Linked DNA regions of Canis lupus familiaris. The protein of the gene in region 1 purifies or fractionates together with the protein of each later gene. This does not show direct contact. Links are inferred from orthologs where the notes say so. Each region holds a gene or a part of one and is shown on either strand. Other genes may lie near its edges. The genes, in order: PTPN7 and MAPK14.

Region 1 (4,382 bases):
CCTGCTGCCGGGCCCTTGTGAGGGCAGAGGGTGTGCTCACGGCCAGTGGGGCTCAGACCCGGGAAACCTGGTGGGAACCTGGAGGCACGGGCCGGCCAGGGGGCAAGGCTGGGCCCGCTTCCTCCTCCCCACCCCTGTGGTATCCTAGCTTCCTGTTCTCGATAACCATCAACAGCTTGGCCCAACGGGGCTGGCCCTCTTTCTGATTCCCTCCTGCCCCCTTCTTTGAATCCCAGGGCCCCACTGGTGGGTTTGGGGGAGCGGTGGAGGCAGAAGCCACCTCGGGTCCCTTCCCGAAGGTCGACCAGGGATTCCCAGGCTCTCCTGCCCCCACCTCCGCCCTGTTCTGGGGACCAGAGCCAGCTACTGCTCCAGCTCCTCCTTTCAGGGAAGCCACCCACTCCCCAGAGTGAAGAAGCCTCCGGGACCAGCCAGCCCTGGAGGGGCCGGGAAGGGGCCGGCTCCCGATCCGCACCCCCGGGAGCACGGACAGGTGCTGGAAGGCCTCGCAAGCTGCGCAGAGTCATCCCGGGCTTGGCCCCAAGCACCCCCCCAATGGCCAGCCCCCTCCCCACCGCCCCTCCTGTGTGCCCACCCCCTGTTGAAAATGGTTTCTTTTTTTGCTGTCACCATTGACAGCTGAATCAGAGAAATGGGAGGACGCAAGAGGACGGGGATGGCGCGTGTTGGGGCCGGGACGGGGAGGGTGTTCGCGGTGTTACGAGGTGGAAGGAGCCGTGCAGCGAGCATGACCCGCTGGGCAGCTGGCCAGCAAGGGGCCTCCCGAGGCGAGGCGGGGGCAGGGGGCGCTGGAGTCCTGGGCGCAGGGGCCACTTCCTGGGACCCCAGACGCGAAGAAGGCATGGGAGTCCCCCACCCCCCGCCCACCCCACCCGCCGCGCCCCGTGAGGGCCAGAGACTGTCCACTATCTGTAAGTCTGCTGAACTGATGTCAGGATGCTGGGGAGAACTGGAGGGGCTGGGGGGGAGGCAGGGGGAGAGCCCCCCAGATTCTCCTATGAACCGTGTCTACCACCCACTCCCGGGCCTGCTGGTCCATCGCCACCACAGGTAGCTGGCAGCTTGGCTGCGGCTCGAGTCCCAGGGACGGCCCTTCTGGCCTGGCCTGGGCCTTTCTGCCCCTGCTTCCCTCCCAGCCTGCCCCACCACCTACAGCCACCTCTGCAGGTGCCCCAGCCCCTGCCCCTGACTCCAGAGCTTGAAGGGGGCAAGGGCTCCCCGGACCACAGGGCGCCGAGGCAGAAGCAGGGCAGTGGGAAGCAGTGTCCGGGCAGGGCCGGCGGGACCAGAACCAGCAGCGAGCTGGGGGCAGCGGGCTGACGCTGCACGTGACCAGAGCCCAGAGGCCAAACAGTCCAGGGAGCACGCGGGCGGGGGGCGAGGGGAGCCAGGGTGGCGGGGAGCGGTCCGGCCCCCTCCGTCCCCGCACCCCCGCCCGAGGGACCCGGGCAGCCCACCCCGGGGCACAGGCGAGAGGCACCCGACCCCTGGTGGTGGCAGCAGGCGCAGGAGGGCAGCAGGCGGCTGGGGTGTGCGTGGGTGGCAGCGAGGAGGGGCGAGGGAGGAAGCTGGCTTCCTGAAGCTTCCTCAGCCCTCAAAGACCGACCAACAGACAGACAGACAGCTGGCAAGAGGCGGCCTGGAGGCCACGGCTGCCTCAGTGAGTCCCTGACCGGTGGAGGAGGGGCCCCGTGGTCCTGGGGTGGTGGGGACCCCGGGGAGGTGGGGGGGCACTCCGGGCAGGTGGGAGCGAGGCTGCGTGGGGTGCCACGCTGTGTGGCCGGGGAATGGGTGCTGCCCCATCAGACGGCCCCGAGGGGCGCGGGGAGGGAGCCCCAGGGCGCTGCAGGGGGACCAGAGGCCAGCCATCCCTTCCTGCTTCGTACGAGCTTCTCGCTCCCCGCACATCTGCACGGCCGGGGTGTCCCCTCACCTCGGGGCTTAGCGGCTCCGCCGCCGCCCCCACCCCTCGGACGCCACGGCCTGGCTCTGGGAGGTGGGGACGGTCCCCCCCAGGAGGACTCAGGCCCACCACCTCCGTGCCCCCCGTCCCCCCAGCTGTCGCCTCACCATGCGCTGCCGCTCAAGGGCTTGTGAGGCCATTTCCTGTGACGGTTACAGAGGCGGGAGGTGGGGGGATGGGCGGGGAAGAAGGAAACACCCCCAGCCTACCTCCCTGGACAGAGACCTCAGAAGCCAGAATGACCTTGGGCCCGCCCGCAGCGAGGACAGGGTCCCCAAGGGTCCCCAGCTGGCTCTGCTGCTGCCGCCGCGAGAGGCCTCAAACCTCTCATCTCGGAGCGGGCCCGGCCTGGAGGTGGCTTCCGTGAGCTTTCTCTCTCCCTTCCACGCAGAACGCGCGGCTCCTGTTTCCTCCCTCTCCTTCCTTACCTGGGCCCCGCGCGGGCCCCCTGTGCTCCAGCCTCGGGCAGCCTCTGCCCCCCATCCCCCTCCGTCTGGAGCCCTTCCTGACCTTGCCTCCCCGCACAAGCTCCATACCTCATTGGGTCCCTCCTCCAACCCCGGCCACCCCACCGCCCTGGGTCCCCCCTCGTAGGGACCCCGGCCTTCTTGCCGTGAAAACGACAGCTCTGCTCGGAGAAGGGACGACACCTGAGAGCGGAGGTGCCAGAAAGCAGGCGGCGGGCCTGGGCTTGGGTGCCTCTCAGGTGGGCAGAGAGGCCGGGGTCAGCTGCCGAGGGCCCTGTCTTTCAGGTGAACCTCATGGCTGCGTGAGCCTCCCCCAGGCCAGCACCCAGCCCAGCATGGTCCAGGACTGGGGGGGGTGCTCGAGAGCACGGCCGTCCACCTGGTCTTTGGGGGGAGCCATGACCCAGCCGCCACCCAGCAAAGCTCCGGCCAAGAAGCACGTGCGGCTGCAGGAGAGGTGAGGCCTTTCCTGGGGGGCGGGGGGTGTCCCAGCCCTGAGACCCTGCGCGGTGCTCTCTGCCTGCCCCTACAGCTCCGAGGCCGAGGGCTGAGGGCTCCAACCTGGAAAGGAACCCAGATGTGCTCATTTGCATGTCATTTGCATGCACTGACAGGTCGGGATAAAGTTTCCCGCCTCCTTGGGCTGCTCCCCAACCCGAGGCGGGGCTGTAGTCCCTGGAGCAGGGCTGTGTTGGGTCTGGGCTCGTCCACGCTCTGGGTGTGGCAGGAGGGGCGCAGGCAGGCAGCTGGAGCGTCGAGGTGACAAAAGGAGGGAACGCAGCGGGGCCAGAGCCCTCGAACCCACCGGGCCTCCGCCCAGGGGAAGACCAGGAGCAGCCTCCTCAGACGTGCCCTGAACCAGCAACAGCAAAAAGCAGCAGCCAGTGGTGTTGTCGTGCCCACAGGAGGGGCTCCAACGTCGCTTTGATGCTGGATGTGCGGTCCCTGGGGGCCGTGGAGCCCATTTGCTCAGTGAACACGCCCCGGGAGGTCACCCTGCACTTTCTGCGCACAGCTGGACACCCCCTCACCCGCTGGGCCCTGCAGCACCAGCCGCCCAGTCCCAAACAGCTGGAGGAGGAATTCCTGGTAAGAACTTGGGGTCCCCCCGCGGTGCTGTGTGCCTCCGAAGCACAGCCAGCCAGCGGGCACCGTACTGTCTTGTCTTCGGGCCTCCGGAAAGAGAACCCACGAGGGAGAAAACCACCCCGTGGGCCCCTCTGCGCTGCACCCCTGCAGACCCACGGAGGCCAGGAGGGAATTGCCGGGATCAGCCCCTGTGGACACAAGGACGGGGCGGCGGGGGCAGGCGGGCACGGGGGTCGATATTCACTCATCTCTTCCCTCTGCCAGAAGATCCCCTCGAACTTCGTCAACTCTGAAGACCTGGACATCCCTGGCCACGCCTCCAAGGACCGCTACAAGACCATCCTGCCGAGTAAGAACCGCGTGTCAGGGGAGTGCAGCCGTCCCTGGGCTGGACGGTGTGAGGGCGACAGGCGCGGCCCCAGCGAGGGCGCGTCTACGAGAGCAGTGGCAGGTTTGGGGATGGGAGTCCGGGGCTCTGAGGGGCTGACCCCGCAGGCCCTAAAGGCCCAGGGCCCCGCACAGAAGCAAGCTCCAGACCCTGGGAGACTGACTCCTGCCGCTGCCCACCCACCTCCAGCAACTCCCAGCCCTGAGGCCGTCTCACCGCCCACCCCCGCCCCCGCCCCCATCCCCGCCCCCACCCCCGCCCCTGCCCCTGCCCGCCTGGTGGGTCAGCACTCAGCCCAGGGAGCGGGAGGGAGTGGCCCTCGTCCCGGCCCAAGTCAAAGACGGAGGGGAGGTCCCCCCGCTTGCAGGGCCCCGTCCAGAACCAGGCCAGCCCTGGGGGAGTTTGTCTCCCCTGCTCACGAGCCCGGCCTCCGTCCCTGCTGGGACTCGCGTGG
Region 2 (4,422 bases), on another chromosome or scaffold:
CTAGGTGCTGGGACAAGATATGCAAAATCTGAGCATTCTAAAGGATGCACGACACGAAAGAGAATAATCACGGGAAGGGTTGAGAGGTGTCCTGGCTTGGACCCAGTTACTTCTAAGAGACATTGTAACAAACTTTAACAAAGGAATAAGTTGGTTACAGTGGCTGTAGGCATGGTTATATAGTATCTTGCTCACTCACACTTACTATCTTGTTCAGCTTTACAGGTAACCCTATTAGGCGCGGATGTAAGGCAGGAATTACTTTTGCAGAAGCTGGAACTAGAGTCTAAGAGAGGTCAATAGACTTGCCTAATAGGACACCCTCTGCCTTGCTCTCCTTAACCTGAGGCAAGAATCAAGCTTCAGAGCAGGATTCAGTTTCAAACCCTCAGAAGTACTCTTTTCAAAAATCCTTCTCCAAGGGGGATGCGGGAGACTTTCCTGAATCAGAACTGCCTGGAGCATATTATAAAAATGCGCGTTCTTGGCGCCTATCACCGACCTATCCACTTAGACTCCCTGTGGGTCCTGGGACTTGGCTTTTTTTTTTTTTTTTTTTTTTTAACACTCCAAGTGTTCTTTTGCACATAAACGTTTAAAGACCGTTAGGAGAGTTTGGGTGGAAAACCTCAGACTTAACGTAGAGCTAATACTTGCTTTCGGGATAGGGTCCGTCACAGTTCCGAAGATTAAGCCGTATGTCCCCGAACATGGAATAACGGCTTTCTGGCTGGAACCTTCCTTTTCCAAATGTAAGTATTTCTTGGAAGTTGGAGGTTCTGCTGAGCAGATGCTCGGCTGCTGGTGACTACCGGCAGTTCAAAGATCTTTTGGCTCTTTTCCCGACACCCTATTAGTCGCCGTCGCCTCCCGCCACGGAGCCGGGCGTTTGCCCCGCCGACCACGGTGGGGCGCACGCGGCATACGTTGCCTGCCTGTCCCTCCCTTTCCCGGGTCCGCCTTCGCGCCCTTAAGAGCAGTCCCCGAGAGTTCCTGCCTCTGGTCTCCAGCTGTTGCCCTTTTCTCGCGAGAAGTGCTCCTCCCATCCTCTCCGGTAGTCCACCCCCTCCCGTGGGCAGGTTCCATATTGGGTAAAATCTCGGCTCGCGGAGAGTCCCGGGAGCTGGTCTCGCGAGAGTACGGCTAGCGACTCCTGTTCGCTGGCTCTGGAACGGCGATCACTGGAACTTGAGCGGGCGCTGCAGCTGGAGCCGCAGTTCCGCGGCGCAGCCCGGGGTCGGCCTGGTCGGGGAGAGGGTGCAGGGAGAGCGTGGTGGGCGCAGCCCTGAGCCCCGCAGCCTGCCCCTGCCCTTCACCGGGCTCGCCCGGCAGCTGCGGCTGACAGGGGCCGCGCGCGCGGGAGTCGGCGGGGTCGCGTCTGCCGCACCTGCGCCGACTGCCAGCTCCGGGTCCCCGCCCGGCCCGGCGGGCAACGAGGGCCCGGGAGCGGGAGCGGGAGCGGGTGCGGGTGCGGGCGCAGGCGGGGCCCCTCAGGGCCACCTCCTAGCCCCGCGGCCGCCGCTGGAAGATGTCTCAGGAGAGGCCCACGTTCTACCGGCAGGAGCTGAATAAGACAATCTGGGAGGTGCCCGAGCGTTACCAGAACCTGTCCCCGGTGGGCTCCGGCGCCTACGGCTCCGTGTGGTGAGTGTCACCGGGCTTGGGTCTGCGGCGGGCTTGGTGGCCTCAGCACCCCAGAACCAGGCCTGCCCACACAGCTCAGCGATGCACCAAGCGGTAGGAATTTTCTCTGGGGGAGGGCATCGTTGCCCATTCGACCCCTGTGCTGCACGCCCGGGACCCCCTTGCACCCCTCACTCTGCACCCCCAGGGAGGCGGTCGGCTGTGTGCAGGATGCAGGTCCACGGTGGGCGGTGGTGCTGGAGCTCGGCCCTGCCTCGCACCCTGCGCAATCCCTTCTGGGGGGGTGGCTGCTCGGGGGAGGGGGGCTGGCACAGAGGCCGGGGCGTCTCTCCGGGGGTGGGGGGTGTCTCCCTGCCAGCCTCGAGCCGAAGGAGCCTCTCCGGAGGTGCAGCCACTCTGGGCGCGCGGGAGCCTGCCCTCCAAGCAGACAAGCCCGGGGGGGCTGCAGGGAGAAGCAGAAGGGCCAAGCTCTACGGGAGACTGCGAGCGTCGGAACAAAACTGACGACCAAGGGCTTTCTGCCCTGGCTTTTTTTTTTTTTTTTTTTTGCAGACCTCTTTCGAAATCTCATTTCGAGAGGCATTCTTTTCGAATTCGCACTTGCATTAGCAGCGACCCAAAGAACCGAAAATACCGACTTTATCTCGGCCAGCCTAGTGCCAGCTTGAGTTGTGTGTTTCCGATTCTGTTGAAAGCGTATTTCCTTTTCGCTGAGTGGGGGTGGGTGGTAGTGCCTGCAAGAACACTGCAGCTTGAGAAACTGGCGGCTTCACTGATTAGTCACATACCACTGCTCATTTAAGTATTGTTTGGCAAAAACAGTTTTTTCACTTGGAGCAAGTGAGATTCAGATCCGTTGGACGCGCTCAAGATCAAAGAATCATGAGCAATCTGGGGAGGTATTGTAAGTATTTCTTAATTGCAGTACATCTTGTGAATATTGTGTTTTTAAACTTCTTTAGAGAGTTCGCAGGGAACTGATCTACATTTGTAGCCTGAGGTACACGATGGTTTTCATAAGGATAGGGAATATATAGCAAAGGAAGGGAGAGACACTTCTCAGCTTTAATTCACACTGTGTTTTAAATTAAATCGATCCAATAAAATTCTTGGATCTAAAATATTTCACTAGTTTAGGTATTACACACCATATTTTAGAGTTACTGTAACTTGAGAGCTGCTGATCTGAAACTAATTCCTGTATTCATGTGAATCATTTGAAAAGGGCTCCATAAGATTTTGGGAGGGTGGGGGTGGGGGTGAGGGAAACGAATTCCAGACTTTTGGATGTGTTAATCTTTATAATTCTTGTGTTTCTTAAAGTCACATCATGAATTTCCTGTTTGCTAGAATCTTCTGGGTAATTGAGATTGTGCAATTGTGTCAAGCAACAGATCATATTGCATTTTCTAGTTCAAGCTGCGTGAGTTCATCTTGCTGATGGTCCCGTGCTTGACATCTTTTCCTCATTTTTATAATATGGCAGTTTACGTTTTAAGGGAATTTGCAACATTTTACTGTATCCATCTATATGTGTGATTGATTTGCAAATTTTCAGAGATATATTTGGATCATGGCTCCTTTAATAGCTTATTATTTTACCACTCTTTTTCATTCTGTTATGTCATAATTGACATTAATTTTCGTAGTACCAAGTTTCTGTTTCCAATGATGTTTAAACTTTAATGAAATGATACAGCAGAATAGCTCAACTATGGGGAGTTTAGTGGACCTGAAAACAACTGCTTGCAAGGTCTTCCTACTGTTGGTATGAATAGCTCTGTCCTGGAACTGCAGATTCAGATTTAGAGTGAAGTATCATAAAAATGACCTTTACATTTCCTTAGTACTATACTTTTTTGGCTTACAGAAGCCAGAAATATCTGACACTTGGAAGTGATTTTGTTAAACATATTTTAAAAAATATGTATAGAATTATATACACATTGTATAAAATTCAAAAGGCGTAAAAGGATATTTAACGAAAGGTATCCTTTCCTTTCTTGTTCTCCAACTGTGCTATTCCTTTCCTCTGAGACAGCCCCTGTTAAGTTTCTTATGTGTCTTTACAAGGAGGCAGAGCCCATTCATTTGTTTTTAGTAGTATTTCTGTTGAGGGATTTAAAGTGTGACATATGGTATATTGGTGGAAGAGAATGCATCTTATGTGTGTCAGTTGACTATGGCAAATATAATTGATTTTGGATTGAAAATATCAGAATTTAGATATACATAAGTAAGTGGCATCTCATTCAGAATTATTTGAAGTTATTCTTTCAGTTCTTTCAGATTCTTAGCAGTGTTTTGGGTGTTGCAGCAAACTTTTTTTTTTTTTTTTTTTTTAATTTCTCTTACAGCATTCTGGAGCCTGTGTTATTTTTCACTGCCATCATCCTTTAAGAACAGATTTGATTTTAGGGAATAAGAAAATCAAGCTGAATTCAAATAATTTAGAGAATTTGTACTCAAGTCTGGCGAGAAAGATTAGGCATTCAGGTTGGTCTTGTTTTAGGTCAAATAGGAGTTATAACTATAAAGTAATGACAGAATTTCTTGTGTGACTTGTAGAACTGGATCTGAAGTCTGTTCCGAAAAAGAATCTCTGAAAGCATTTTAAGGAATGCAACCTCACGCAAATATCTGTCAGTTTCCTAATTTGATTGCTCCTAAGTGTGATATACTTTGATGTATATTAAAAGTTTTTTATGTTAAGCCTATTTTCTCATTTTAATTTTCACTAAGTCTACAGTAAAAAGGCAAGCAGCAGCCTGTATGCTA

What was found.
Region 2: the proteins of PTPN7 (region 1) and MAPK14 purify together in Homo sapiens (affinity purification with mass spectrometry; 3 studies listed by BioGRID and IntAct, with this or other methods). This does not show direct contact. The link is inferred for Canis lupus familiaris from reciprocal best matches to the Homo sapiens genes PTPN7 and MAPK14.

The regions. Positions count from the first base shown.
Region 1 is NC_049228.1:986,310-990,691, forward strand, and holds the start of PTPN7 (tyrosine-protein phosphatase non-receptor type 7), read left to right. Parts: upstream 1-1,526; 5' UTR 1,527-1,681; intron 1,682-2,205; exon of another isoform or gene 2,206-2,347; intron 2,348-2,736; 5' UTR 2,737-2,786; coding exon 2,787-2,908; intron 2,909-3,271; exon of another isoform or gene 3,272-3,356; coding exon 3,357-3,540; intron 3,541-3,804; coding exon 3,805-3,889; intron 3,890-4,382. UniProt on the Homo sapiens protein: Protein phosphatase that acts preferentially on tyrosine-phosphorylated MAPK1. Plays a role in the regulation of T and B-lymphocyte development and signal transduction.
Region 2 is NC_049233.1:5,326,227-5,330,648, forward strand, and holds the start of MAPK14 (mitogen-activated protein kinase 14), read left to right. Parts: upstream 1-1,528; coding exon 1,529-1,644; intron 1,645-4,422. Other genes in the region: SLC26A8 (testis anion transporter 1), read right to left, coding at 658-712. UniProt on the Homo sapiens protein: Serine/threonine kinase which acts as an essential component of the MAP kinase signal transduction pathway.